5 linked regions of the Rattus norvegicus genome follow. The protein of the gene in region 1 binds, or shares a complex with, the protein of each later gene. Links are inferred from orthologs where the notes say so. Each region holds a gene or a part of one and is shown in the gene's direction. Other genes may lie near its edges.

Region 1 (6,628 bases):
GAGGTATCTTAACATCCTGCTGACTGTGAGAGTCGAGAGCTCGGTTCAGGGAAGAGGTAGCAGCTGAAGGAAGGACTAGGTGGCTCCTGTCAGTCTAATCCCAACGGTTTCACTTAAGCAATTATCCCCTAAGAACAGCTTCTCCTAACAATGACAACAGTGATTGGCTGCTGGTGTGTGGGAACTTTCCTGGCACTACCAAAGAGCACATGTGATGGGAGGGACCAAATACTGCCATGCAATATACGTAACACTTGTTATGCAGACATACACATAGCACTTGTTATGTCGATATCTACATAACACTTGTTATGTACGCATATACATAACAAGTGATGAGGTCCCCTGGGAGGCTGGAAAAATGGAGAGGTAGCCTCTGGGTTAAAGGTCAAAGAGAGACCAGAAGGGCTTTGGAAGGATTCAGTTGCAGTCAAAACAACAGAGGGTGAACCAGACCAGCAGTTCTTGCTGGGTTCACACTGGGATTCTGAGGGAGAGGACCAGAGATGAGAAAAATGAACAGTCCACAGCTGGGGCTTGGGGGTGTGAGGGGCCGAGGGCTGATGACTCAAGCCAGCAAGTTGATTATCCTCACAGTTCTTTACACAGCCTCGGATGGAGCAGCAGAATACGAATCAGCAAGGTTACAGGGAAATCAGCAGGACTGCAGGGAGCTCTAGCTTCTTTTTTGCAAGGTGTATTCTGGTACGGTAAGCAAGCATTCCATACCTCAGGGTCTGGAACAGTTAACCACAGCTTACATGGAAACCTGGTCTCAGCCCCCCAGAGCCCTGGCACCAGTCCACTGCTGGCTTTGCCAAGAATGACCCTGACAGGGAACAAAAAGCTCTGTGTTCCTTGTTCCGTCCACAGGATCTAGAAGGGCCTCTAGACAGAGGGAAGAACTGGATGGACAACCTGAGAAGAAAATAGCCGAGCTAAGGATATAACTTAAGCACGATTCCTGTCCATCTCTGGGAACTGTCACAACCCATGGGAAAGCAGCATCAGAGTGTCTCAGCATCGATACAAGAGCACAAAAAGTTTGCAGCTTGGTCCCCATAAGACCACACATGCCACTCTTAGACAAAATGAAGGGCAGTCATCAAACTCAGAGAGGACAGCTGCTGTGACTCTTTCACATGTCTCCTTTGTCTCCTTTTCCCCTGTTTCTTCTTATTTGCATAGCGTGTGTCCTCGGTTGGCTTTGATGTCTAATGGTGTCCACTGACACTGCCGAGCCCAATAAGGTTAGGGGCAGAGTATAGGTAGAAACAAAATAACAAAAAAATCTTCATAGATCCAAAACCAGGCATGGTAGGGTTTACTTGTGATTCCAGGCTCTGGGAGGCAGAGAAAGGCAGGTAAATTACAAAACCGGCTTGAGCCAAAGTTCAAGGCCAGCCTAGAGCTACAGAGTAGGCTCTTGCCCAGGGTGTGGGAGGTGGGGAGCCACCATCATTTAAAGCAAGGAAGTGCCCTTGTTAAAAGGTGGGTGTTGGGGCTAGAAAGATGGCTCAGAACTCAGGGAGCCTGTGTTGTTCTTGTAGAAGACCAGGGTTCAGTTCCCAGCACCCACACGGAAGTTTACAATTATCCATAACTCTATTTCCAAAGGATCCAATACCCTCTTCTGACCTCTGCGGACACCAGGCACATACATGATGTATGTACGTAGATACATATGTACATAATACGCACACACTAGCAAAACACTTGTACACATAAACCTTTTAAAAAGTGGATGTTGGAACATGGAAAAAACTGGTATTGTTATTATCTAATACGGACTTTATGTACAGTACTTTAACCCACACAATAATATTTCAAAGGAAAACGTCCTTAAGTGGAGGCTGAAAATTACTATTGTATTAGAATAATCTAAGGAGTTGCTTGTACCGTAGTTTTAAGTGCTTTGTATAAAATAACCCAGCCCTAATATCAACCATGTGACTCTGGGGTCAATTCCCAGCACCACATAAACCAAACATGGTGCGGCATACTGTGGAGGTGAAGGCCGCTCCTTAGCTACACGGTGAATTTGAGTCCAGCCTGGAACATTTGAGACTGTGGAAGAATGATCGTGCAATGAGTGAGTACGCAGGAGAACAACGGTAGGTGATCCAGTCCCGCAGCCAATGTTCTTAGGCTTTGACTTTGAGACAGTATCTTGCTATGCTGCACAGAGTGAGCTTTCTACTACTTGTTCCTCAGTGTTGGGGTTATGTTATCACACCAGGCCCTATCCAGCATTTATGATCATATCACATCAGATTTGAATCTAGATCTTTCCTCACACAAAACTCGTACACGTTACGCTACCCGCTTATTGTAACCCGAGAAGAGTAACTTCATCACCCGTAAATGAATCCAATTCTTTCACGGACAGCTCACCTCTGAGACAATGCTAAGGGGGGCTCTGGAGAACGCCACAGTTGTTAAATCCTCTGTCCCCTACCTATCCCAGAATCAACCATCTAGAGGAGAGAAGGTCAGCTCTCCAGAACAGGACTAGTTTGCAAGCCCAAACCCAACCTTCATTCTGCTGCCTTCCGACACAAGCGGCAGCCCGCAAAGGCTAGTGATAGGGTGCTTAGGTGTTTGGGCATTTCGGGTGGCACCAGCAGCCCTTCTTTTGTTGGCTTTCCTGGTTCCTGAGTCGGACTATTCCAATTCGGGAGAGGCTGGGCCAAGTTTTCAGATGTTCCTGCGGTTTTCAAAGACTGAACTTCGGACTGCCCTCATCCGAAGTCCTATGCTCCCCAGCTGAATTGTATGCTCTGCTGCCCTCACACCCGCCCTCGTCCTTTGACTGAATGGACCCGAACACCCACACTCGGTCCCCAGCCGTTTTTCTCCCAGAGATCCGGAAGCCCCGACGTCGTGCCCTACACCAAAGATCGAGAAAACCACTCAGACGCGGCTCCTAGGCGGCAGTTCGGTTCCCATAGCAACCCTCGGAGCACCCGCATCCCGCTTCCGGCCGGGTGGCTCGGGCGCTCCCGTGACGTCACGGCGCCGCTTTCCGGTGACTGAGTCGAGCTGAGGTTGTTGTGGGCCGGGGGCGCCATGGGGGCGACTGGCGACACCGAGCAGCCGCGGGGCCCCGGCGGGGCGGAGCGAGGCGGCCTGGAGCTGGGCGACGCGGGCGCGGCGGGCCAGCCGGTTCTCACGGTGAGGGCGCCCGGGCGAGGCCGGGGCTCGGGCCGGGCAGGGCCTCGGGCTCCCGGGCCCCGGGCCCGCGGGCGAAAGAACGCGGCGGCTGTGCGGCTCTGGGGGTGCCGTTTTCTCCGTGTGACGACCCGGATTCAGAGTCTAGTTAGGTGACTTGGGCCTGATGTGACACCCTCTGGGCGCCAGGTTTCTCTTCTGTGAAATGAACAACATTAACCCGAGCTTGATGGAGTTGTGGTGGGATGGGCTGATAAAGGCGGGTAGAACGTCCTGACTCACCCGCCTCATAAGACCCTCGGTAAACGCTGCTGCTCTTCCAGAAAAAGCGAGATTTGGACATTGGTGACAGAAAACATTTTCCCAGTTCCTCCACCCTGACAGGGTCTTCCAGCCACTGAATTCCCCTTCACCCCAAGGTGGGAGAAGTGAGAAGCAGGAACGTCTAGGTTTCGCTCCATACTCACTTTCTCCTCATCCTCACTCTGAGAGGCCTCGGTGACATTTGCCCACTTGGTCCCCACAGAACCCTTGGAACATAATGATCAAACACCGGCAGGTGCAGCGAAGAGGCCGCCGATCTCAGATGACCACAAGGTAAGACCGATATCCGTTATGTGGACTTTGAGTGCTTTGAGACCCCCAACTGCAGGAATTTGAGATCAACAACACGTAGAAAGAGCACAGAAATCGGGGGAAGAGAGACTCCGGTGCTCTAACTTCCTGTAACCTTGACAGTTATTGCCCTAACTCCTCTACAAAGCAGAGAAGGAATAAAAAGTCGAGTACCATCTCAGCGATTGAGATCTGTAAGTCAGAGACTGTGAATTCAAGTTTCAGGCATCTGTTCTAATGCAGACTCTGATGTTTGTTAACTGGATACATTCGGGCAAGCCTTTAGCTTTTCTTAGATTCTGTTTTCTCAGCTTTGACAGGGGACTACTAGTGAGTGTCCGGTCTGGGGAAGGGGAAAAACTGCGTATGAGCCTTTGGAATTCTTGTATTTTTGACCTGGGGTAGCGATAATCATTTATTAATGATTTAATAATCATTTACTAATTACAGCGCTTGGCAGAGGCAGGTGGACCTCTGTGAGTTTAAGGCCAGCCTGATCTATATAGTGAGTTCTGAGACAGCCAGACTACATAGTGTGACTGTCTCAGAAAAAGGAAAAGAAAAAATATATGTGTATATGTTATAGTTCATAAAACACTTGGAAAAGGGTTGGGGATTTAGCTCAGCGGTAGAGCGCTTAAGGCCCTGGGTTCGGTCCCCAGCTCCGAAAAAAAGAAAAAAGAAAAGAAAAAAAAAAACACTTGGAAAATAATTTGCATTTCACAGAGTTACAATGAAATAAAAATTTAAAATCCCATGTCGCCAACTGGCTGAGTAATCTGGGAATGTATGTTTGGAACACTCCCCTGATTCTGTCTCCCCCACCCCCACCCCCAAATGCAGTTTCACAGATCCAGCCATCTCTATGGATCTCCTCCGTGCTGTCCTGCAGCCTAGCATCAATGAGGAGATCCAGAGTGTCTTCAACAAGTACATGAAGGTGAGGACATGGTGATTAAAGCCAACAGCACTGCTGAACAAGATCGTACAGCCAGGTGCTGCAGTGTGCCCAACCATGCAGGAGGCTGAGGCAGCTGACAGCCAGCCTGGGCAGCACAGTAAGACCCCTTGGACGAGGGAAAAACAGAATGGAGGCTGGAAAACACAGCCTCTGTGGTTAGGAGTGCTTGCTGCTCCTGCACAGGACTCAGTTGTAGTTCCCAGCACCCACATCAGGCCACTCCTAGCCACCTGTAACTCCAGGTCCAGGATCCAGTGCTCTCTTCTGGCCTCTGCAGATTATACCTGGAGTATAAATTCCACAGGTACATACACAAAAATTTTTTGAAAAATTTTTAGAAAAAGCCTGGTGGGGCTGAAGACATGGCTCAGAGGTTAAGAGCACTGACTGCTCTTCCAGAGGTCCTGAGTTCAATTCCCAGCAACCACATGGTGGCTCACAGCCATCTGTAATGAGATCCGATGCCCTCTTCCGGTGTGTCTGAAGACAGCGACAGTGTACTCATATATATAATAAATAATTTTTTTTAAAAATTCTTAGAAAAAGCCAGGCATGGTAGCACATACCTTTAATCCCAGCACCCAGGAGAAAGAAGCAAGCAAATCTTTGGAGTTTGAGGTCAGCCTGGTCTACATAGAAAGATCCTATCAGGAAAGAAAGAAGAGAAAAGAGGTGGGGAGATAGAGGGTACTTCCAAGCAGGATGGTCCTTCCTCCTGTCAACAGTCTCTGTTCACATGCATGCTACACAGAGGAAATAGGCTTCCATTCTGAATATACACCCCAATAACTTTTCCACTGCTTTTTTTGCCAAATGGTTTCATTTTAATGTATTCAACACCCTTGCTTAGACCATGAAAAGTCTAAAGCCATGAGTATAAAGCCATGAGTTTGATCCCAAACACTGGAAAAAATAGTAACTCATGATTAGCATATTGTCAGGCATGTCTGAGATGGTGACAGTGTATAAAACAAATAATGCCCTTGTTCACTTTAAACAGTGGTAGGGAATGAGGGAAAAGAAGAGGTGACCACTGGGCTACTCAAAAACAGAGCTAGGGTGCCTGTTCTTATTAGAGACACTTGTGCATTTTGAGGGGGATTGCTTGGTAATGCCAATTCACAGTATTGATTCTTCCAGTCCATGAGCTGGGGGGGTGGAGGGGGGTGTCATTCCATCCTGTAGGGTCTTCACCAATTTCCTTCTGTTTTTAAAGCTTTACTGGAAGATTTATTTTGTAATAATTGTGAATGGAATGATTTCTCTGAGTTCTTCCTCAGCCTCTTTGCTGGCAGTGTAGAGAAAGGCTGTAGGGTTTTGAATGTTGATTTTTTTTTTTTTAATTCTGCCTCTTTGTTGAAAGTGCTTGTCAATCCCATGGTTTTCTGGTGTGTAAAGTGCTTGTCAATCCCATGGTTTTCTGGTGTGTAAAGTGCTTGTCAATCCCATGGTTTTCTGGTGTGTAAAGTGCTTGTCAATCCCATGGTTTTCTGGAGTGTAAAGCCTCATCTGCAAGTAAGCTCCGCTGGCTGCTTTCTTCCTTGTTGTGTGCTTTGTTTTTGTCTCTCTTGTCTGGTTGCTGTAGCTGAGACTTTACTGTACTGAATGGGAGTGGAGAGTCTTGTTCCTGATTTCAGTTCTGAGTTTCCTGTAGTTAATAGGATGTTGGCTGTAGGTCTGTCATCTGTAGCCTTTGTTATGTTGGGATACATTCCATCTCTCGCAGGATTTTTATCACAAAATGATGTTTTATTTTGTCAGAAGCCTTTTCTGCATCTAGTAAGATGATCATTTGATTTCTGTCTTAAGTCTATTGCTTAATGAATTCCATTATTGATTAGCAAATGTGAATCATCCCTATGTCTCAGGATTAAAGCCTGC
Region 2 (5,214 bases), on another chromosome or scaffold:
ACATCCTGTATATTTTTAACTTGCCCTTAGCTTAGAAGTCAATTGAAAAGCCTGTTCATTCGGCCTTTAATTGTAGCCTTAAAAGCGGGGAGGGGGAGAGTGTCAACCAGCTCAGTACTTTCTATCCCACCGTATATAACTCTCAAATGCCTGAGTAATTACATTTTTTTGAAAAGTTTATTTGTGATTCTGTTTGGGCAGTTTCTCAGTAGGGTCCATGAGAAACTTTGTAAGTGAACGTGAATAATTTCAATTTGCTTTAATTGAAAACAACATAATACAGTGAAATGCATTCATTTAATTCTTGAAAAGAAACCTTGGGGCTTGAAATTTAAACATAGGATATGAATATGAATTCAATGACACATTCGTAAAAAAATGCATACTTTGTATCTGTGTAGAATTTGACTATCTAATTAGAAAGATAAGGAAGCATATGTGCCATTAATATAATTTGCTGTTCTCAAGTTAGAGAAAATACTAACAAGTACAAAATTGTGGGCAATGTCACCTCTCCCCTTAAGTCAAAACCAGCAGGAGCTAACTTATTTAGGTCACCCTCGATGCAATTTGGTGACAAAACACAGAGGATTGGAATTTCTCTTCCTCTGCTTGTCTGCCTGCCAGGTGCCTGCCTGAGTTCTCCAACCATTCTTCCTACCAGCCCATCACTTTCTACTACACCCCTCCCCCAATCTCCTTAACAGTATCACAGATTGCTAATGTTACAGCAGTTTAGTATTGGAAAGAAACATGCATCCTCTTGCCAGTGCCATTAGACTGTTTTTAGTGAGCTGCCTGGGCCTGTGCAGTTTACTGACCTTAGTTTTCTGGACTCACAGTCTTTTAACCTTTCTTTGTCCTTTCCAGGCAAGGCATCTTTACATTTGTGACTATCATAAGAACCTAATTCAGAGTGTTCGAAACAGAAGGAAGAGGAAAGGGAGCGATGATGATGGAGGAGACTCACCTGTTCAGGACATCGACACTCCAGAGGTAGACCGCAGGGTTTTCTATAGTGAATTGTCAATCATAATCACACTGGCAACTCCAAAACCGTTCTGTAAATATTTAACCATTTAAAGCATCTGAGAAATCTCAAAATTAAATACAGCCAGTAAGTTGGCTTTATATTAATATTAAATCTCAGATGACAGTCTTATAGTTCTTGATATACAACTTCCCCTTTTATTTCTCCAAAAGTTTATAATATGTATTCCCCAAAGATGGAATTGTTTCATAAATTACAGGTCTGATTTTGTAAATGAAGTCATGTGAAGTGCCATACAGATCAGTGATATCTTTTTAGCAGAGTGATCTAATTCATGTTATTTTTTTTCTAGGTTGATTTGTACCAATTACAAGTAAATACACTTAGAAGATACAAAAGACACTTCAAGCTTCCAACCAGACCAGGTCTAAATAAAGCACAACTTGTTGAGGTATATATAAATATGCTTTATACTGGGAAACAATCCTGTTTACAGCAACAAGGTATCACTAGGTGATGATGAAATAGAGAAATGCAGTATACTGAATAGTACATTACATGCAGTAAAGTCAAAGTTAATAGGCCTATCGTGGAAGAGTAGAGATCTTTAGAAACATCTGTCTGCCACTGAGAAAAATCTCTTCAGTGAGTACTCAGTGGATTATATTCAGAGTATGTACAGCGTCTTTTAATAGTGATTTTTAGAGTAAATATTCAATAAGAAATTTTTATCATCGTTCTAGAATTCTGTTTTAAATTTCTAATTATTCAATGAATATTTATTGAGGGAATATAAATATGGAGTGGAATTGAAATGGAATATTTCCATTGCAGGATGGAAAATAAATAGCTTATAAGTATTTATTAGAATTTAGTTTTCAGAGATTCTGTGGAACAAGTCTGCAGGGTTTTATTACTTTCTAGCTTTACTTTCAGATACATTTGCCTTTGTTAGGAGTTTTAAGTAGAGGATACTTTCTTTACATCAAGAGAAAGAACAAAAATAAAGCTTTAACATAAAGTTTGTTTTATATGGGACTTAGTTCCTTTGGTGTATTTCAGAAGCTAATAGAGAGTGAGTGTGTGTGTGTGTGTTGAAGAAGTAATAAAGCCACAAGATCTGTGAACGGTTAAAATAACAGATTTAAGTAATTATACTTTTTATTCAAAGCAAACGTTTCCATGGAATAGACACATCAGAAGTCTGTATGTGTGAATCAACACATACATATTTATGTAAGAGTGTGCCTGTATTCTTCAGCTGGACTTTAATACTTAGCCTGCATTTCTAATGTGCAGAAGTAAAAGATAAATGAGTTACATTTTTTTGTAGAAAAGCTCTTTAACATTAAAATTCAGTATGCTAACAAGCCAAATCTCCTATATTTCTTGCCTAGGCAACAAAAATATTTTTTTCTTTAAATTTATTTAAAAGTTCTCGTCCTTTTTCGGCTGCATAGTACATAAATGTGAAGACATTCCTTACTGTAATAAAATATACTAGTCACTAATCTAGTACAGTCACCCCGTTCTATAACAAATAGCCAGGATCTGATGCAAAGTTATATTTAAATATAGAACTCAAACTCAAAGCCCTTGAAATCTAGTCTTGAAAGACAGTTTTATTAGTTCAGATTCCGATTCTAGAAAAGCAGGCAGTCTTCAGTCTACGAATATCAGCTGCGTGGTTTCTCAGCTGTTGGTAATTGTGGCGTACATGTTAGATTTGTGCAGTAAAAGTCAGGGAAACAGTCCTGTTGAATATCCCTCCAGCTCCTTTAATTTTCCATTCTTAAATTTTATTCAGAAAAATTTGCAAGAAACTTAAGAAGAATTAATATCAATTGCACCAATGATATTTATGGTATGGTTTATTACCAAGGTTTTTTTTTCTTTTTATTAATCTTTTCCTGTGACTACACTCTAAATGTCTAAATGTCTTCATGTGATGGACATCAGTTCTTCTGTTTTATTTCATTGATATTTAATGTTTACGAATATGTAGCTTGGGCTGGAGAGATGGCTCAGTGGTTAAGAGCACCGATTGCTCTTTCAGAGGTCCTGAGTTCAATTCCCAGCAACCCCATGGTGGCTCACAACCATCTGTAATGAGATCTGATGCCTTCTTCTGGTGTGTCTGAAAACAGCTACAGTGTACTCATATAAATAAACAAACAAAAAAATAAATCTTCTTGAAAAAAAGAATATGTAGTTTGCAATCTAAAGTTGTAAAGTTTAAAGAGAAAATACTTATAACAGGTGCACATTAATCAAGTTGACCAAAGGGAGTAAAATACACAGAGTCAGAGCATATTGAGTTCTTTGAAATCAGATTCTTTTGTTTATAATATCTTGTTTGTGTGTGCTTTGGAGCGTGTTGATACTCTGTTAAGACAGCTTAATCTTTAAAAGTGTCATGTGGTCACATAACTCGTTGGCAAAGTAGTGTCTTCTACTCGGCTCCCAGTGTCTGCTCTATCTAACTTAATTTGTCTGTTTTTTAATTTATAGATAGTTGGTTGCCACTTTAAGTCTATTCCAGTGAATGAAAAAGACACCTTAACATGTTTCATCTACTCAGTGAGGAACGACAAGAACAAATCAGATCTCAAGGCGGACAGTGGTGTCCACTAGGAGAGATGCCCGCACGTAGACGTCTGCTGTCAAGAGTGTTTACTGTTCTTCCGATGTAGAAACGTTCTTGTGTATTTTTTCTACAGAGGATTTTCTTTGGCTTTTTGTTTTTGTTGCTGTCGTTTTTGATCCTGATAATTAGTTGGAAACTCATATAAACTGAGCTTCCTAGATTAAACATATTTTAAATAAAGGTTATTACTATTACAGCTACTTCAGCCTGTTTATTTTATGAAACTTTGTTTTTGTTTGAAGCTTTCTGGGGCTGGCATTAAGATGTCAGGGAAAGGATCTTATTTTGTAAGCCTTTCTTTAAAATTCCAAGTAATTAAAGGTAAAGGAGGAATGACAGACATGACCCAGTTGCCTTCCCTAGGCCAATTTGATTTGTAATTAAGCATTCTTGTTTTGTTTTTGTTTGTTTCTCTGTGTAACCCTGGATGCCCTGGGACTCACTCTGTACAGCAGATTTTCTCCCACTCAGAGATCTGCCTGTGTCTGCCTCCTGAGTGCTAGGATTAGAGGCAGGCACCGCCAACTGCCTGACTAGCATTTTGTTTTTTAAAGTGCTTTACAATGTATGTTAGCAAATGTGAAAATCAGTCTTTCATTACTTTTCAATCACTTTTAAATTTCCCTTTATGCGTTGTTATTCCTTGAGGACCTATGGAAAAAAAAGTTGTTTTTGTGCCTCTCTCTTTCCAAAGACACCCCAACACCTCAGCAAAGACACCCAACACCCCAGCAAAGACACTCCAACACCCCAGCAAAGACACCCCAACACCCCAGCAAAGACACCCCAACACCCCAGCAAAGTTAAGTGCAGTGCTTGGTGCAAGTGGGCCGAAGGCCTGGAGCTAATTACTTCCTCAAACCAAGGTGACCTGAACAGAGAAACAAACGCACCTTCTGGCTATTTGCTTCTCACATGCAAATGATGCTAATAAAACTGGTCAGCTCTGATTGTAATCCCCGCACTCTGGAGGCTGAGGCAGGAGGACCACACATTAGAGAACATCCACACTGCATATAGCAAACCTTGCCTGAGGGTGGAGAAGTCTAGGTGTGTAACAAGCTCTTTGTTTAAGGGTTGGCACTGCTTTATATTTTTTTATGCTTCATTCCCCGTTGGCATTTGATTTGCAATGTTTTTTCCCTCATGGGATTGTATTACTTGGCTAAATGCTTAGCATCACGCATCAGGGTTTTAGCTTGTCAAAAGCAAAAACAGCTCCAGGAAAATGTCCTAAGAATGCACGCAAATTAGGTTGGAAATGAATATGACTACTAAAGTAACTCAGACTTATTCAAGACGAAGGTTTGAACCTGTGACGTCCTGGCTCTAGGAAGATGAACAAGTGCCACTCATGACACTGACCTATTAGTGCCAATAGCTCTGAGGTGTAGTACTAAAGACCACCAAAGGTCACCAGCTGGAAAAAAAAATGGAGCAGGAGCTGAGAAACAGCTAAAGTACACTTCTACAGTACCGATCCATGAAGGAGGGGAGTCTGCTTAGATTCCGGTTACATTCTTGACCAGAAAATAGAGTAGCTGGCGTTTGGTTCTTAGCACCATTTAAAACGTCC
Region 3 (6,184 bases), on another chromosome or scaffold:
CAGCCCTTTGGTGGCAGTTAGAAGCCAGGAAAGGGCCTCCTGCTTCCTCTTTGGGCTTTCCCTACATCCTCTCGGACATGATGACTGTGACATTTCTCTTCCTTACTTGGCACTGTTCCCTGGAGAGGAGTGGATTTGTCCTCCTGATTGGTGAAGGGGGTTTGCACTGCTGTATTGGGGCTGGCTTTGGATGAGGAAGATGCCCGGATACTTTAGTTTGAAATTCCCAAATGTCTAGAAAATGGAGAAGAGTAAGTCCATTAATTAATGCCTTGCCGAGGTTTACCAGTTTTACCATGTCTTGTTTTCTTCTCTTTCCCTGTGTGCATCTAAACACAGACCCAGAGACACACAGAGCTATCTCTCCCCCGCCCCCTCAGTTTCACCAAATCATTTAATGTAAGCTACAGCTGAGCCTGGATGTATAGGCCTGTAATCGTAGCTATTTGGGAATATGATGTAGGAGGATTACAAGTTCAAAGCCAGCCTGGACTACTAAAGTAAGTTCAAGGCCAGCCTAGATAATCAGGGGTAGGATTAGAAGTACTATTTAATGGTAGAGCATTCGCCTAGCCATGTGCTAGGCCACACACTCAATGCTAACACAGGGGCAGGAGGATTATTTTCAAATAAAACTTCCCTAAGCATTGGCAAGCAATTTGAAGGCACATTGAGAGGCCTGTGGAGATGGTCTAGACATCACCTCACTTAATACATATCAAAAAGCAGAACGATGAGCCCCCTTTTCACCTGGGGGCTCCAGGAGGAGCCAGGTGAACTTCCAAGAAGCTTGAGGGATAAGAATGAGTTCAGTTACTCTGCTAGGGTACAGATTCCGACGCAGCCAGGGCTCCTGAGCCCCTGCTGGCCCAGTGCAGCCTCTCATGTTGGGACTCTCATAGGTCACGGTCCTCTCTAGTCCACAGTCAAATCTACCCAGAAATTCTGGTCCTTCGTTGCAATGGTGCAGAAGCCTCCATTAATTGCATTGGCCTGAGATTCGTTGTGGAGCAGGCATTGAGAATTTGGGGTTTGGGACTTAGTTTTTTGCCTAAGGCTAAAGGGAACCAGCATCGATGAGAAAGGTGAACCACACCAGCTCCCTCTGACCTCCCTTCTGGCTTTAATTCAGATCCAGACCAAGACTGTGGCTCAGTGCGTGGAGTTCTACTACACCTACAAGAAACAGGTGAAAATTGGCCGCAACGGGACACTCACCTTTGGTGACCTGGATACCGGTGCTGAGAAGTCCGGCCAAGAGGAAGTCGAGGTGGACGTTAAGGTGAGTCCTTCCTGGCTCTGCCGCCTCACTGTTGGTAACACCTGGGGCCAGACTCCTGGCATTTTATACAGGGCTGTCAGAGGAGAGCAGGTCCCTGAGAGCTCCGGGGAGCTGGTTGGTGGCCCAGGCCCTGAACCTTTTGAGCTCTCTGGCATTGACTGTCCAGGTCACAGTGATGGTGCTGATGTAGAACACTGGAGAGTCTGAGGCACAGCTTCATCTTACTGCCTCCTCCGAGCAGACCACTCAGGCCACATCCGGGCTCCCGCTCTCCTTGTACCACCTTTATGATTTCTGCTTTGTCTGTGTGTTAACACACACCACGATTACTGTTCCTGTCATGTCCCATACAACTTTTATTATTAATTTTTTTTTGTCAGCTCATTTTTTTTTTCTCAAAAGGGAAGCTTTATATTACAGTCATAAATAGAAACCAGTTTTGTTGCTTATAAATAGAAGGTACTGGGAAAACTAAGTACACATGAAAACCAACACGGTTACTAAACGCCAGCTTCACGCTGCAGTTGCCTGCCAGGACTCTGAGACAGGGCTGGCTGCAGATTGTCAAGTCTAGGGAAGAGGCACATTAACACCAACCCTGACTTGGTCTTTGAAAGACGCTGTGATTTAATTTTGCACCCATGAATCCTCTTGACGTTGTCTCTAAATTACAAGTCAGTACTTGGTGGCATTCTACTTTGAAATCAGGGAGTAGTTTGGTCCCCATATGGCAGATGAGGAGTTAGAGATACAGAATGTGTCACAGACAGTTAAGCTGGAGCTCAGAGCTCCTGCCTGGCCCACGAGGTCACTCTGTCCAAAGGGTGCTCAAAAGATTCTGGGCATCTATCCAGGAGGCCAGGTGGTTTGTGGGTCCTGGCATGCCCCCTCCAAACCCCTGGCTCAGTCTCACCCTGAGAGCACCCAGGGTCAAAACTATCATCCTCTTTCCAGGCCAAGGGGCCATAGGAAAGCTGTGACTTATGACAGAGGTCCGGTACAAGAGGCTGGACTGGGCCAAGGCAGGGCCGCAGACCGGGCTGGTGCTCCAGAGCCTTGGCCGGATCAGAATCGGCCCTCTCGGGTGACTGAGCTCATTCTTGTCCCCATAGACTTCTCAGAAGTTCCCAAGGGTGCTTCCTCCCAGAAGAGAGTCCCCAAGTGAAGAGAGGCTGGAACCCAAGAGGGAAATGAAAGAACCCAAGAAGGAGGGGGAGGAGGAGGTACCAGACACCCAGGAAAAGGGAGAGCAGGAGGAGGGGCGAGAGCGCAGCCGTCGGGCCGCGGCTGTCAAAGCTACACAGACACTACAGCCCACTGAGGCGGTAAGTGACCTCCACCTTTCCCCCCAAGGGCAGGGCAGGAAGACAGCGTGAGGCCTGGGGTGTGGGTGGGAGGACAGCAAGACCACGGTGACCCTCATGGTGACAGACCAAGGTACTTTATGCTGGTAACTTACTTGGGTCTCAACCCTGTGTGGTCAGGGCTGTTATGAGTCTCATTTTACAGCCAAGCAAACTGGTGGTTGAAGGTTATGTAGCTTGTCGACAGCCTGATTCAGTGTGCAGCTTATCTTCCCATTACGAAAAATGTATTCACATGTAATTATATGTATATACGTGCGTGGGCATACTGTATAAATGTTTGTCTGAGATTCAGAGGAACAAGGCCTTGTAGAAGAAAACCCAGTGGTTGCGCGGCACAGGGGAAGCACTCCGAAGCTGAAGCTCACTCGTGGCTCCCCTAGAACACGTGCTTGACAAGAGTGTCCGGAGTAGAGCTGAGACTGTGAACCCCAATAATGGCCCTTTCTGTTCTTGGCTGAGTGCTTCATGTCCGCTATTTTACCAACCCCTCACAGTAGCCGCACAGCGCTCCCTCCCACTCAGCAGATGAGGGAAATCAGGGTCGGAGATGCTGTTTGACTTAGTTGAAGGTATACCCCAGGTCTTTGTGCTGTCTCCTTCACGGACTGAGCGAGGCATCTCATTTTAGCTTCCCTGTCAGAAGAACTCTCCCTGGAAGTGGGAGAGATGGAATGCGTTTGCGCACTCTACCTGCAGAACGCCAGTCAGCCAAACACAGCTGCCTGCTTCCTGAGCGTCACTGCTGGCCTGCAGGAGCCGTGTGGTGTCTGCTGTCCAGTTCTGCTGTCTTTGTGGACACTTTGAGGGGTGACCCAGGGCACATTTACCACTTCTGATGGCCATCTGGGGTTTCTGGCCTGAGACCAAAGCAGATACCTTGGGGTGTGTGTACACCATGGCTCCTCTACTTTGATACGTGTTCCCTCTCTTCTTTTTCCCCACTTTCTCAGCAGGTGACCATCACATCTGTCCCTTTCATTACAATGGGAGCTTTCTGGGGACAGGGCTGACTTCCTTACCACCTGGTACATCATGTGAACACGTCTCTCTGGCATTGAGATATGATTGGACTAAATGTCAAAAACAAAACAAAACAAACAAAAATCCAACAACAACAACACCCCTCCCCCCTGAGCAAAGTCAGAAGTGTTAATGGCTTTAACTGCCAGCACGTGGCACAGAAGTATGTGTCACCACTTTGGGATAGGGCCAGCTGCAGTTGCCTCCTGAAGCTGCCAAGTGGTCCTATCCCTGACTATTTGGCAGGAATGTGTGACTTTTTAGGGCCCCCTGTTCCCTGAAATGCCAGAATTCTGGCTCCACACTTGCCTCTAAAACACACCCTGTTTGTCACTTGTCTCCAGGCCAATGATGTCCTCATTCTCCGGAGCCACGAACCCAATGCCCCGGGGTCTGCCAGTGTTCAGACCTCAGAGAAGCCAAGGGAAGGGCCGGGGAAGTCACGAAGGGCTCTGCCTTTCACAGAGAAGAAGAAAAAACCGGAGGCATTTAATAAAACCCAAAACCAGGAGAACACTTTCCCTTGTAAAAAGTGTGGCAGGTAAGAAGTCCCTTCCTTGTCTTCACAGGAACCTTTTAAGGTTGGGGCAGGGACTTGGACGCAAGCGGAGGATTTAAACGCTGCTGGGGGCGGGGCTCTGGGGATCTGCTTTTTGGTTGGCTCCTTGGGTTTCCAGGGTCATGACGTCGTGGGGCAGGCATAGTTTGAGGGGCGGAGCGACAAACTCCCGAGTGGGCGGGCTAAGGGTAGCGACTTGGGGGGGGGGGGACCGGCTGGGGTTGAGGGAGGAGAGTGAAGGGGTGGCTCTCACCCGAGCCCTTCCTGCCCGCTGCAGGGTGTTTTATAAGGTGAAGAGCCGCAGTGCTCACATGAAGAGTCACGCAGAGCAGGAGAAGAAGGCTGCAGCTCTAAGACTGAAGGAGAAGGAGGCTGCAGCCGCCGCCGCGCACCAGCAGGCGCTGAAAGAAGAGAGCGGCGAAGGCGAGAAGGGCTGAGGCCCTGCTGGATCCTCTTGCCGGGCTCCCCAGAACTCTGTACCTGGAACCTCTAGAGAAGGCCAGGAGAGGATCACTTGGACTTTGCTTTGCAAAACAAATCAAATAATGAAAAATAAACAGGCTCTTTTATTTACGAAGGCCAAGGACAGTGTTAAGGGCTGCAGGATCCAGTTCTCTCAGTATCTGGTTTGTCCCGAGTCGTTCTGCTTTCCTGGAGCCTTGAGAGGCCAGGCCCCTTGGAATGGGAAAGAGCTCTGAGCTACTTCTCTGATCTCTGCTGTCGCATCTGTGCCTCTTGTATCCCAGGTCCTTAGGAAGCCACCACGGCAAGCCAAGCACAAGCTCACCCTGTGACAGCATTATTCCTCCTTCCCCAGAGGACCTGGAAGGCTGTGCAAACCTTTTCCTAAACCCAAAGGGGGCTCCCTAGAGAGTGGTGGCCTTAATCCCTGTGCTGACCTTGTGAAATCATGCTCAGGCCAGAGCTGCTCCAACGATCCAGTCTTAAGGTCACCACTTCCTTAGTCGGGATCTCGGAGGGCTATTTCAACCCCTTTGCTGCTTGTCAACAGCCCATCTGGGGCTGTAAAAGTTTTCTCAGACGTTTGGAGTTCATGCCCCACTCTCAGCCTGCTACACCGAGGGGAACTGTTCAGAGGCCTGAAGGTGCAGAGCTAGGCCTGAGGGACCTTTGGACAAGCCCATGGCTACCATTTTATATCTTTGAGTCCAGGAGGCTGCTGAAGGAGCCTCAAGCAGGTCCCAGGGAGGCCTGGCCTGGCCTTGGGTGCCAGCTTCCTTCTTGCCTGTCGTGTTCTCAGTAGCTGCCAGTTACTCCCACTGTACCCTATTTGATGCTGATATTCACGCCCCCACCCCCCACCCCCAATACGGCATGCTGGAGATTTCTGGATCCTTCCCTGGGAGGGGGATGTCTCCTAACTAGATGAGACAGGAGCCTTCATTCCTTGACTTGTCATTTGGGAACTATTTATTTATTTCTTAATATTTAATTTTTAACATCCTCAGGGACCAGGGGCCTCTTGCTTTCCAGAGGTCCAAGTGCATTTATCCCAAAATAAGGCACCTTCTTGGCATCTCCAAATCCTCCCCCAGTTCCAAGGCCCTGGGGTCCCTTACTTTGTGACTCTTAGGTGCAGGAGTGATAAAAACTGACGGAACTGGGAAGTTGGGAGTGTTCTCAGTCACAGGAAACTAGCAGATGTGGGTGAGATCAAAGGCAGGGCTCAGTCCTGCCCTTTCTGTACTCTCAAGTGCTGGAGGGAGTTGGCAAGAGGCCAGAATTCTAGTTTTATTTATCAGCCTGGAATCTGGCTTGAAGAAACCATATTTGGCATGGAATTACTGAAGGGTCAGAATGTTCTAGAGGCCCCTTCACTTTCCAGTTCCACAGGAGACTTAAAGTTACTTTTCTGATATGACCACTTAACTTTAGTTGTACAGAAGGAAGTCTAAGTGAATGTGTGTCGGACTGTTCAGGGTGTTAGTAAGAGCT
Region 4 (5,882 bases), about 95 Mb from region 1:
ATCACACACAGTAATGTAGTATACCCTTTGTGGTTACCTTTTCCAGATAAAAAGACATTCCATACTTTAGCTTTTTCTAATACTTGGACTTTAGGCATTTATCTTTAACGCAGCAGAGTCATCCTGTCTTCAGTGGACTTCTTTTCCCAACAGCATGCTCTGCACAAAACCTACAGAAGGAGTTTTCAATCACTACCAAAAAATCTAAGAAAGTTGGAGGCATTCGTTGTATTAGCCTATTACAGAATTTTGTTAAACCTCATCTTTGTTCTCATTAGAGAATCCGGCTCTCGGGCTGTGCAGGTAGGTCAGTTTGTACAGTGTTTGTCAGGCAGGCATCGGCACCTGAGTTTGGATTCCCAGCCCCCACATAAGAAAACAGATGTGTGAGAGGTGCCTCGATCCCAGTTCTCTAGGGGTAGAGACAGGAAGATTCCTGGGGCGTGCTGGTTAACTGTTCTAGTCCAGCCATTGGGAAGCCCAGGTTTATTGAGAGACCTTGTCTAAAAAGTGAGATGGAGGGCTGGCTAGATGGATCAGGCACGTGCAATCTCTTGAGACCCATATAGAGGAAGAAGCAGAGAAGAGTTCCCACAGATCTGTCCTTTGACCTTTACATGCATGCAGACATGCTTCTACATACCACACAGAATGACTTAAAAATAAGGTGAACAGCACCCCACCTTAACTTCTGGCCTCCACGTGCATGAACATTCGCATACGTGTGCACATGTTCACACACACACACACACACACACACACACCCCACAATTAAAAATACTGTAATAGCTGACCATGGAGTGTACACCTTTAATTCTGGCAGAAGCAGGTAGATCTATATCTATATGTTCAGTGCCAGCCTGGTCCACAACCTGAGTTTCCAAACAGCCAGAGCTACACAAAGCCAGAAAGAAATTAACTACATTTCTTTTCTTTTTTCTTTCTTTTCTTTTTTTTTTTTTTTAAGTAAAGGTTGTGGCACCAAAATATCTAATGGCATGTAGGATTTCGAAACTTTTTCAGCAACAGAGTACATTTTTAAAGAAAATCTTATTAGAATAACTACATCATCTTTTTCTTTTCTTACTGAGAGAACTGGAGGGAGACTGGAAGCCTCAGGTTGACACAACCAGTCTCCAGTAAGGTAGCACTGTTCAGGGTTTGTCTTGATTTCTTCAGGGTTCCTTTTGAGATAGTGTGTGGTCATCTTCTTCCTTGACTGAACCGTTTATCGTTATTTCATTCAGATTGCTTATGGGAGATGAGCGTGTAAAGAACGGCCTGAATTTCATGTATGAAGCCCCGCCAGGAGTTAAAAAAGGTATCTTTCCTTTGCACTTTGATGTAATTGCCTGTAAAGATTTGGAAGAGGAGACAGTATTTTTTTTAATTAATTTATTTGTATATTTTATGAATGCGAGTACGTTATCACTCTCTTCAGATATGCAGAAGAGGGGATCTAATCCCATTACAGGTGGTTACGAGCCACTCTGTGGGTGCTGGGATTTGAACTCGGGACCTCTGGAAGAGCAGTCAGTGCTCTAACCACTGAGCCATCTCTCCAGCCCGAGACAGTATTTTTAGAGGGTATTTGTATTTTTCCATGGCTGTTGCTCTGACAATCTTGTCACAAGCAAAGTAAAATAAAGAGTTTCCAATGTAGTAGCTTATGTCCTTTGGGGGAATGCTCAGTACTGGCAGATAAACGTTCAGCCCTTTCACAGTGCAAACATATCTGTAGTCCTTATTAAAATACATTTTCAAATGCAAAGTCTATCACTGCCAGTGAAAACATAAAAGCTTAAAAATTAGGAGTTAACATGACTATTCTGAACGATACTTCAATGTTGTATTGTATCCTTCAGTGGTAAGGTAGACTTTTCTGCTGACATTTCTAACTTGTCCTGCTTTCCCCCTGTGCTTTGAATCTGCAATCAAGAAAACAAAGAGGTAAAGTACTTTTCTCTGTTTGAATTGATTTATAGTTGATTGTGATTTTATGGACAGTTGACAGATTTTTTTTTTTTTACTGACTGTGGTAGAAAGAAGAAACGGAAGGAGAGACAGAATACAAGTTCGAATGGCAGAAAGGTGCTCCAAGGGAAAAGTAAGACTGGTTCTTATGGGGAATGCATATGGCTGTCTCCAGTCCTCCTTGCCTCCTGCTTGTTAAGGTTCACTCACCAGAGCAAGTGACTAATTTGAAAGGGTGTTTTAATGACTTACCTCATGCAAACAGTGTGCTTCATCCAAGCCTGGATTTATGTGCTTGCTCGTTCTTTAAAACTACATTATCAGACTTAAAAATTGATGCTGGTTTTTTATTTTATAGTAATAATACACTTTATAATGTTTAAAAACTAACCTTTTTTGGGTTAGCTGATTGAATTTGTTACGTTGTTCTTAGTCATATGTTTGTTTTGTACTTAACAGATATGCTAAAGATGACATGAACATCAGAGATCAGCCCTTTGGTATTCAGGCAAGTGGCACATTTACTCTTTAAGAATAATTTTATTTAGCACATGTATCTTTACATTATTTTCCCCAAAATGTTTGTATTAGAGTTCTCTAAAGAACAAAACTGATAGGATGAGAAATACACACACACACACACACACACAGGAGAGGAATTTATGATGCTCCCTTAGAGGATGTGTTCAGGTAGTCAGCTGTTTGGTCCATGAGGTTGAATGTCTGCAGTCCTGGAGGATTCTTAGGGAGCTGCTGGTCTTTTTAGTCTGCATTGGAATCTTGAAGAAGTTGGATTTAATATGAGCAGCAACAGGATAGAGCAACTTGAACTTGCTAGTGAGAGAAAGAGTGCAAACAAGCAAAACTCAAAGCTTCCGTCTCTGAATTCTTCCTGTGTGGCCCAGGTTTAATAATCCGATCAAGAATATCCCTCACTGGAGTGTAGAACAGTTTGAGTTGATTCCATATGTAGGGAGGTTGCCAGCCAAGATTAGCATCATAGTGTTTAAGCTCAAAAAGGACTTTGTGGTTTATATTATGTCAAATGATCGGACTGAGGAGAAAACATGACCGTGCTAGGCACATGGAAGACGAGGATCAAGCTAGTGAAGGGGTAATGATGCGGTCACTCCGGCTTTCAAGTCATAGAGAACTGACTCAAGGTCGAGAAAAGATGTCAATATAAACATTACTGGGGATAACATTTGAAATGTAAGTAAATAAAATAACCAATAATTTTCTTTAAGAAAAGGATTACTGATTCAGAAACAGTCACCTGTCACTCCAGGCTGATCCCGTGAGAAACCTTGCTCAGTCATGTGCGATGTCTGTAGCAGCTTCCCTGCTGCGTCTGTCACAGCAGCAGAGCGGAGTGGCTGCAAACAGACACAGCTTAACACAGCGTTGTTACTTACAGAGTAGATTTGCTCACCACTGGCTTAGAAATGTGAAACGTCAGGGCTTGAAATAATAGCTCAGTGAAAAAACACTCACTTTGTGTGTTATGAGGGGCTGGAGCAGGACAGAAAAGAAAGGAGAAGGAAAGAGTAGCTGGGTAGGTGGCATGACTTGTTTTTCCAGTGTGTGAAAGGTAGAGGCAAGGCAAGAAGATGGAAAGCGTAACCTGGGCTATCCTGTGTAACGAGGGAGGAGGAAGATTTAAATGAGGGTATTAAGATTAGGGAACATAACATTAAACCATGCCATGACTCTTTGTGATATTTTACCATTTCTTTTTTAGATGACATTTTATAACAAGATTTTAGTATTTACATTGAATTACCTACTATAATTATAGAATTGCTTTCCCTGGAGATCTTTTTTAAAAGTAATTTAGCCAGATGTGGTGGTACATGTTTTAATCCCAATGATCTAGAAGTGTAAGTGGATGGATCTCTGTGAGTTCAAGGCCAACCTGATGCACAAAGCAAGTTCTAGACCAGTTAGGGCTGCATAATAAAACCTGTCTTCAGAGCGAAAAAGAAAAAAGCAGGGTGGGGGATCTAAGTGAGATGAGAATCAAAACAATGTTTATTATAATTTTTCAGGTTCGAAATGTAAGGTGTATTAAATGTCACAAGTGGGGCCATGTGAACACAGATCGAGAGTGCCCCTTGTTTGGTCTTTCCGGGATCAATGCAAGTTCAGTTCCTACTGATGGCTCAGGTAGGTATTAGACAAAAGTTATTTGTTTTAGAATTTTGTCAAAAAAGGAAAGATAAAATAACGTTTTTATTTACCTGAACTCTTTTGTTGCTCTTGAGTTTAATTTTCATTCCCCAAATAGAATGACCAGAGCCAGTGGTGTGACTCAGCAGTAGAGGATTTTGTGTGTTATGTGTATGAGGTCCTGGGTTCAGGCCCTAGCATGCCACTCGCTCCTCCCTGCCTCCCTGAAAGAGGAGTAAGTGGGAAATCCTTCGCTGTCTGTGTTAAAAAAAATTTTTTTTTCTTTTTTTCGGAGCTGGGGACCGAACCCAGGGCCTTGCACTTGCTAGGCAAGCGCTCTACCACTGAGCTAAATCCCCAACCCCCATGTGTTAAATTTGAAGTGCTCTGCAAGAGTTTAATTTTTTTAGCCAAGTGTCTGTGTGAACTCTGTTTATTGTTTTGTTCTGTTTTTTTGTTTTGTTTTTTTTTTTAAGCAAGGTCTCATAAAAACCAAGCTGGCCCCAAACTCACTGTGTGTGTGTGTGTGTGTGTGTGTGTGTGTGTGTGTGTGTGTGTGTGTGTGTATGTGTGTGTGTGTTCGCATGTGTGTACACTTTTGTGCATATGAATGCAAATGTGTGAGTTCCGGGAAGAGTGGAGGCCAGTGTCCATGAGGAAGGCAGAGGACACCCTCTGCTGCTGTCAGCCTTGTCCTCCTCACTGTTTACGACAAGTTCCCTTTGTGTTGGATGCTGTCTACTCCAGGCTTGCTAGTCTGTAAGCTTCCAGGCAGTCTCCTGTCTCCACATCTCTCTTGTGGTAGGAGGACTAGCGTTTTAGCTACTTTTCTATTGCTTTGAATGGGTAATTTCCATTACCAAGGGAACTTAGAGAAGAAGCACTACTTGGGACTTACCATCTCAGAAGGTGGAATCTGTGAACGTCATGGCGAGGAGGAGCTTGGCAGTACGCAGCGTGCTTCAGCAGTAGCTGAGCACTGACCTACAAGCTTCAGTTGAAACTCCTCAGGACCTTCTTAGTTCTTCATCAAAGCCCAGCTCACAGTGGAAATAACATGCTTACCTCTGTAGCATAAAACAGGTTACATGGGGTTGGGGATTTAGCTCAGTGTAGAGTGCTTGCCTAGCAAGCGCAAGGCCCTGGGTTCGATCCCCAGCTCCGAAAAAAAAAAGAAAAGAAAAAAAAAAAAAAGCACTATATATCTAGTATTGACGTAGTGGTAAAATAACTTTAAAAACAGGGCCAGGGAGATGCCGTAGTCGGCAAAACACAAGCTTTGTAGTTAAAGATTAGAAGTAACACAAATGTTATCAGTAAGGTGTTAGCAAAGTCAGCATTTATGTAACACGTGTGCAGGGATGGTCATGGAGCTCCCTGGTAGAACACGTATTCTACTTTAAAACCAATTACTGAAGTGGTGGGCAGTATTGAGGTAGTTCTGACATTTTTTAAAAAGACGGATTTGTTTATTTATGTATTTATTTACTTATTTTATATGCAGTGTTCTGCCTGCATGCCTGCAAACCAGAAGAGGGCATCAGATCCCATTACAGATGGTTGTGAGCTACCATGTGGTTGCTGGGAATTGAACTCAGGACCTCTGAAAGAGCAAACAGTGCTAGTTTTGACATATTTAAGTGTAGCCTAGAGTGGCCTCAAACATGTAGCAGTCCTCCTGCCTCAGTGCTAAGATTACAGGTTGAACTATCATGCCTGCTTTTGAAAATTAATTCTTT
Region 5 (5,882 bases), on another chromosome or scaffold:
GGAATCATCAGTCTCTTGCTCAATGTTTAAAGAGTCACCAGACTACTTTCTAGAAAGCAGCAGTTTTCTAGTGCCTCTGCTGTGCACAAGTGCCCTGTTTCTCCATGCTCTTTGCTGTGACAGTCACACTAGGCTATGCAATGATATCTGCTGGTGCTGCCACTGTCATGCCCTGGCATTGCTGATGTTAGAATCCTTTCCTGGGCTTATAGACCAAGTCTTATTGACTTATACACGCAGGTGTGCGCGCGCGCACACACACACACACACACACACACACACACACACACATTGTGTATGTACATCAGACATCAGACATCAGACATGTGACTTTCTCTTCCATTGTGTGGACTGCCTTTCCATCTTATGTGTGAATATTTGTGGGGTTGAAGCTTTCAGTTTTAATGAGTCCAGTATGTCTGTTGGGTTTTCTGCTTTGCTTTGGTGTCAAATCTGAGAAATCATTGCCCAAAGCACCATCAAGCAGGCTTCCCCAATGCTGTCTTCCTTTTTCCCTTGTCTGGCCTCTGATGGCTCAGATATCTTCTCATCCCCAGGGTGGAAACATCTACAGACTCCCCCATCCAGTGAAGGAAGAGAGCTTGGCAGGCGGATGGTAAGTTTAGGAGCTCTCATGCCCCACCAAAGCACTCCACTGGAAAGTCCTCTAGACTCTCTGTACTGTCTAAAGAGTGAGGGAGCCAGATGCCTCTAGCCCTGCAGAGGACATTTCAGCCCTTGGAAAATTGAATATGGTCTTCCATTTTCATTGTTTAGTACAAGTTTTCAGTGGATTGGGGTTACATGCAAAAAAAAACAAACAAACAAAAACAACCACAAAACCCAAACCAAACCAATAGCGAAGACAGCAACAACAAAGCAGCAGTCAGGGCTAGAGCCTCATTCTCCCATTCTCCCTCTGCCTTCTCTATCAACAGCCATCAGCCAAATGGGACTCCCACAGATTGGATGGAGTCAAAGAGCACTTTTGTGTGCAAGAATTGCAGCCAGATGTTTTACACAGAGAAAGGGCTGAGCAGCCACATGTGTTTCCATAGTGACCAGTGGCCATCACCTCGAGGGAAGCAGGAGCAACAGGTGAGGGGCAAATGGTGGCTTCTGTAGCTGGGTTAGACAGGCTTTGGAAGTGGATGAAAAGACAATGCCATCCATCTCAGGTTAAAGGCAGCATACTGGCAAGGATGCTGGGTGACATGAGGGCCAGCCAGGACCATCTGGCAGGCTGTAGTAGCCCCACTGGCCCTTAGTCAGTTTTGTGTACTTCCTATGTCATCAGGAGCCACTCTTCTCCCTAGCTGCTCCTTATCTTGGAGCTACCAACTCTGTATGCTCAGGTATCTGGCACAATTTTTCACTGAGGCCTGCTGGGGACAGGGGTCCCCAAAAGCCAAAATGTCCTTGGAAAGCATAATCATAGCTAGGGAACTCAGCCAAGATGGGTGCTTCTCCAGCTGCTGTTTCCTAAGAAAATCCCAAACCAGAAACACCCAGAGGTCCTCACTCTAGAAGCCTTGGTTTGAACCCACGGTCAGCACTGGCTGAGCCCTTATCAGGCCTAATGGTGTGAGTGCTGGTGACAGCACTGATATTGACAGCCCAAGTCTTGACCCTGGTCAGCAATGACCCAAAATTTGCAGAGCTGGGATGTGGGAGAAGAAGGAACTGAGGGCCCAGGCAGGAAGGTATGTCAGAGCTAAGACCTGGAAGAAGAGGAAGGCCGGCAGGGAGGAAGGAACAGTAGAAGATATGAAAGTCATTATGATTTCAGTGATGGATCTCCCTTATTATCTTTATTACTGGACCCTGTGTCAGTGCTAGGCCAGTGGTGGCTCATAAAAGACACAGGCCTCTGGGAGAACACATTATTGTTGCCACAATACTCTTGTTTCTTGCTCCCATTCTTTTTTTTCCTTTTTTTTATGATTTTCTTTTCTTTTTTCCTTTTAAGATTTATTTATTTTATTTATTTGAGTACACTGTAACTGTCTTCAGACACACCAGAAGAGGGCATCAGATTCCATTACAGATGGTTGGGAGCCACCATTAGGATGCTGAGAATTGAACTCAGGACCTCTATAAGATCTGTCCGTGCTCTTAACCACTAAGCCATCTCTCCAGCCCTCTTTTTTTCCTTTTAATACATTTTTTGTTGTTTTCTAGGTTTTTATTTGTTTGTTTGCTTGCTTGCTTATTTATTTTGTGAGACAAGGTCTCTATTATAGCCTTGCCTTACCTTGAACTTGCTATGTAAATGGGGATAACCTTTTACTCCACTTTGCTTCTGCCTCCTGTGTGCTGAGATCAAAGGCATACACCCTGTATCTGACTCTCACTCTTGGAATGCTTGGCACTTGAGCCACTGAACTGCCCCAGTGTCTTCCTATATGACTGTATGAGGAGGCCCCTGAGCCTCAGGATGGCACCATACTGAGTATGTTAGTCAGTTCTGGCTCATGTGGGTCTGGGCTATGAATAGAAGAAGGTTCTACTCAGCTTCCTGTGCTAACCCTGGGTATGGCCATGGCAGACATATATATCCTCCTCCTCTCTGTCCCTATGAGAAGCCCCATTTTCCCTTCCCTGAACAAGCTGAAGACTGAGTTAGTATAACAGATGGTCTCAGGTGACACCTGTGGTTCTGTCCTCTCTTCTTTAGGGACAAGAAAAAGACGGGGAAGAGAGAGACAGCAAGGAGAGCAGCCAATACAGAAAGAGGAAGAAGCGGCCCCAGCCCAAGGCCCTGTTTGCCCCTCCTGCACCCTCTGCCCTTGGGGAGCCAGGCCCAGGAGGGTGCCACCAGAGCTGCCTACGCTCTCCTGTGTTCCTGGTGGACCACCTCCTCAAGGGCTTGTTTCAGTGTTCTCCCTACACACCACCACCTATGCTTAGCCCAATTCGTGAGGGCTCCGGGCTGTACTTCAATACACTCTGCTCCACATCCAGGGCTGGGCCCCACCTTGTCAGCCCTGTACTTGGTGAGTGAGGCCAGAAAGCTACTCTATTCCAGGCTAAGGTGCTTCTCCTATGGCCCACAATCCCTGTGCTTTGCTGTATATGATCCAGCCATTCTTTCCAGCCTTGTATGTGCCTGTTCTGGGGGGACTCAGTGCTACTCAGAAACATACCAAGATGATTCTTCTAGATGTTTGATTGGTTTAGTTTGGCTTTGGTTTTGGTTTTAACATCCAGAAAGAACACATAGAAGCCCTTCAGCCTAATCCCTCTTGTATTCATTTTATAACCACTCTATGGATACAGAGATACACACCATGCAGATCAGCCATTTCAAGCTTGTGCTTTGAGCTTATTCTCTAGCCGCTGAGCTTCCCTGCACACAATCTTTAGAGGGTTTTTGCCATCCAAGAAGCCTGTTTTCTGGGCGGCTACACCACCCTTTTGGCTTTCATTCTCACAGTCCTATGTATCTCCCAGCCTCAGGGAGCCACTCTAATTCCTGTCCCTATAGCCTTTCCTATGCTGGTTATTTCATATAAGTGACATCATACAACTGTGGCTTTTTATGTATCCCCCATTTTACTTAGTTTATGTGTTCAGGGTTCACCAGGTGGTTGTGTGTGTCAGAACTTTTTTTTTTTTTAATCAGTGAGTAATAGTCTACTCAATGGCCAGACCACTCTTTTTAATTATCAGTTGGTAGGTATGGGTATTGTTTTCCTTTTGGCTATTGTAAATAATACTGTAACAACACTTGTGTATAACTTCCTGTGGGGGTCTATGTACCAATTCCTTTTGTGTAAATACCTAGAAAGAAATGCTGGGTTACATGGAAACTCTATTTAACCATATAGGAAACTGCCAAACTGTCTGCCAGAGTATTTGTTCCATTTTGGATTCCTGCCAACAATCGGGAGAGTCTGGATACCTCTGCCCCTTACCTGCACTTACAGGCTGTGATTCTTTCTAGCCACCCAGTCAGATGAAAGATGCCTATTGTTATGTTTAGATTTGTATTACCCTAGTGGCTACTGGTGCCAAGAATCTTGCTGGGTGTTCATTGACTATTGGTGTGTCCTTCTTTATAAACTAAGGAGATCTGGCTATTCTCCTAATGTGCACTGGGTTTTATATGTGACCACTTGACTGGCACAGAGTAATGAAGAGCCATTCCTGTTTACTCTGTTGGCAGGCAGGCCTTGAGTTCACACCCCTCCTACCTCAGCCTCCGGAGTAGTTAGACACATAGTATTATATTTTTTGAGAGTTTTATAATTTTGGTTGGTTGGTTTGGTTTGGCTTGGTTTGGCTTGGCTTGGATTTTCAAGACAGGATCTCTCTGTCTAGCACTGACTGTCCCGGAACTCACTCTAGATCAGGCTGGCCTCTAACTCATAGAAATTCACCCGCCTCTGCCTCCCAAGGGTTGAAACTAAAGGCATGTGCCACCACTGCCCAGCTATAATTTTGACTTTTAAATTTATATCTTTTTTTTATTTATTCATTTTATATATGATGAGTACACTGTAGCTGTCTTCAGACACACCAGAAGAGGGCATCAGACCCCATTACAGATGGTTGTGAGCCACCATGTGGTTGCTGGGATTTGAACTCAGGACCTCTGGAAGAGCAGTCGGTGCTCTTAACCACTGAGCCATCTCTCCAGCCCTTAAATTTATATCTTTAATCAATTTCCAACTAGATTTGGGATATTGTATGAGATAAGGATCAAAGTTCATTATTTTGCATGGATTCAATTCACTCCAGGATTGTTTGCCAAAAATATCATTCCCATCCTATTTAAAAAAAAAAAAAAGCCTAGGGTAGTAGCATACACTTGTACTCTCAGCACTAGGGAGACTGGGGCTTTCCTGGTAGGCAGTTTAGCCTGTTTAGTGAACTGTAGGCCAGAGAGAGATCTTGTCCCAGAAAACAAGGTAAGTGACGTCTGAGGAATAACATGTGACATTTACCTGAGCCACCCCCACTTGCACGCTTTTCCGCATAAATGTGCACTTGCACACACAAACACACACCTCCATTAATTATCAGTGTGTATGGTTGCTCCTCAGACTAGGAGTTCTCTATTATCTGCATGCTTATTCTTACGCTGCTACCATAATGCTTTCACTACTGTGGATTTGTGTACGCTTTCTAATAGGTGTATTTGAATTCTTATGTTGTTCTGTCTTCCAGGATTGTTAGCTGCCATGGGTCCATTGCATTACTATAGAACTTTAGATCAGTGGTGATTTTGATGGCTACTCTGTTTAATATGTAGATACATCGGAAAGTATTACTATCCTAAATAATTTAGACCTTTCTATTCATGATGGCCTGGACCATCTTCCCATTTATTGAGGACTTGTGGCACTTTGTCTCTCATTCTCCCAGGGTGTGTCTTACATATCTTTGCTTGCTGCTGTTTTTTGAGATAGGATCTTTATACAGCCCAGGGAGGCCTGGGACTCCCCACTCTCCCACCTGTGTCTCCCAAGTGATGGAAAGGCAGGCACATGCCACCATTTGCTGTGCAGTAGACGTCTTTCCTTAGAAGAATCCATTGAGATTGGTATTCATGTAGTAACTGTGAAGAACAGAGACACTGCCTTCTCCATCTCATGGGCCTTTCCTGTTCCAGCTGTTTCCTAAGCAGATGTGTCAGCAGACTCCATTCTGAACTGTTGTCCTTACAACTGTATGTACATGTATATACAGGTATACATGTGTGTTGTCTTAGGGTTTTACTGCAGTGAACAGACCCCATGACCAAGGCAACTCTTAGAAGGACAACATTTAATTGGGATTGGCTTACAGGTTCAGAGGTTCAGTCCATTATCATCAAGGTGAGAGTGTGGCAGCATCTGGGCAGGCATGGTGAAGGCAGAGCTGAGAGTTCTACGTCT

What was found.
Region 2: Dnttip1 (region 1) and Sap30 share a complex: the UniProt entries of both Homo sapiens proteins name them as parts of the histone deacetylase complex. The link is inferred for Rattus norvegicus from reciprocal best matches to the Homo sapiens genes DNTTIP1 and SAP30.
Region 3: the proteins of Dnttip1 (region 1) and Mideas are in contact, whole or in part, in a cryo-EM structure (PDB 6Z2J), measured with the Homo sapiens proteins. The link is inferred for Rattus norvegicus from reciprocal best matches to the Homo sapiens genes DNTTIP1 and MIDEAS. Residues at the interface, in NP_443183.1 of Homo sapiens: Pro63, Ser66, Leu69, Leu70, Ala72, Val73, Leu74, Pro76, Ser77; in NP_001036783.1 of Homo sapiens: Gln768, Asp771, Leu772, Thr774, Ala775, Ser778, Ser779, Ile802, Leu803, Leu806.
Region 4: Dnttip1 (region 1) and Cir1 share a complex: the UniProt entries of both Homo sapiens proteins name them as parts of the histone deacetylase complex. The link is inferred for Rattus norvegicus from reciprocal best matches to the Homo sapiens genes DNTTIP1 and CIRSR.
Region 5: Dnttip1 (region 1) and Zfp541 share a complex: the UniProt entries of both Homo sapiens proteins name them as parts of the histone deacetylase complex. The link is inferred for Rattus norvegicus from reciprocal best matches to the Homo sapiens genes DNTTIP1 and ZNF541.

What each region holds. Positions count from the first base shown.
Region 1 is NC_086021.1:173,898,075-173,904,702, forward strand, and holds the start of Dnttip1 (deoxynucleotidyltransferase terminal-interacting protein 1), read left to right. Parts: upstream 1-3,016; 5' UTR 3,017-3,069; coding exon 3,070-3,174; intron 3,175-3,241; exon of another isoform or gene 3,242-3,323; intron 3,324-3,697; coding exon 3,698-3,768; intron 3,769-4,629; coding exon 4,630-4,726; intron 4,727-6,628. Other genes in the region: Wfdc3 (WAP four-disulfide core domain protein 3 precursor), read right to left, coding at 1-15. UniProt on the Homo sapiens protein: Increases DNTT terminal deoxynucleotidyltransferase activity (in vitro). Also acts as a transcriptional regulator, binding to the consensus sequence 5'-GNTGCATG-3' following an AT-tract.
Region 2 is NC_086034.1:37,759,988-37,765,201, forward strand, and holds the end of Sap30 (histone deacetylase complex subunit SAP30), read left to right. Parts: intron 1-870; coding exon 871-996; intron 997-1,343; coding exon 1,344-1,442; intron 1,443-3,502; coding exon 3,503-3,625; 3' UTR 3,626-3,838; downstream 3,839-5,214. UniProt on the Homo sapiens protein: Involved in the functional recruitment of the Sin3-histone deacetylase complex (HDAC) to a specific subset of N-CoR corepressor complexes. Capable of transcription repression by N-CoR.
Region 3 is NC_086024.1:109,517,628-109,523,811, reverse strand, and holds the end of Mideas (mitotic deacetylase-associated SANT domain protein), read left to right. Parts: intron 1-106; exon of another isoform or gene 107-234; intron 235-1,132; coding exon 1,133-1,282; exon of another isoform or gene 1,283-2,394; coding exon 2,395-2,607; intron 2,608-4,013; coding exon 4,014-4,210; intron 4,211-4,505; coding exon 4,506-4,665; 3' UTR 4,666-4,801; downstream 4,802-6,184.
Region 4 is NC_086021.1:78,585,104-78,590,985, reverse strand, and holds part of Cir1 (corepressor interacting with RBPJ 1), read left to right. Parts: intron 1-1,247; coding exon 1,248-1,321; intron 1,322-1,914; exon of another isoform or gene 1,915-1,939; coding exon 1,940-1,950; intron 1,951-2,042; coding exon 2,043-2,107; intron 2,108-2,433; coding exon 2,434-2,482; intron 2,483-4,022; coding exon 4,023-4,140; intron 4,141-5,882. UniProt on the Homo sapiens protein: May modulate splice site selection during alternative splicing of pre-mRNAs. Regulates transcription and acts as corepressor for RBPJ. Recruits RBPJ to the Sin3-histone deacetylase complex (HDAC). Required for RBPJ-mediated repression of transcription.
Region 5 is NC_086019.1:85,897,836-85,903,717, forward strand, and holds part of Zfp541 (zinc finger protein 541), read left to right. Parts: intron 1-557; coding exon 558-616; intron 617-938; coding exon 939-1,098; intron 1,099-2,677; coding exon 2,678-2,996; intron 2,997-5,882. UniProt on the Homo sapiens protein: Transcription regulator which is essential for male fertility and for the completion of meiotic prophase in spermatocytes.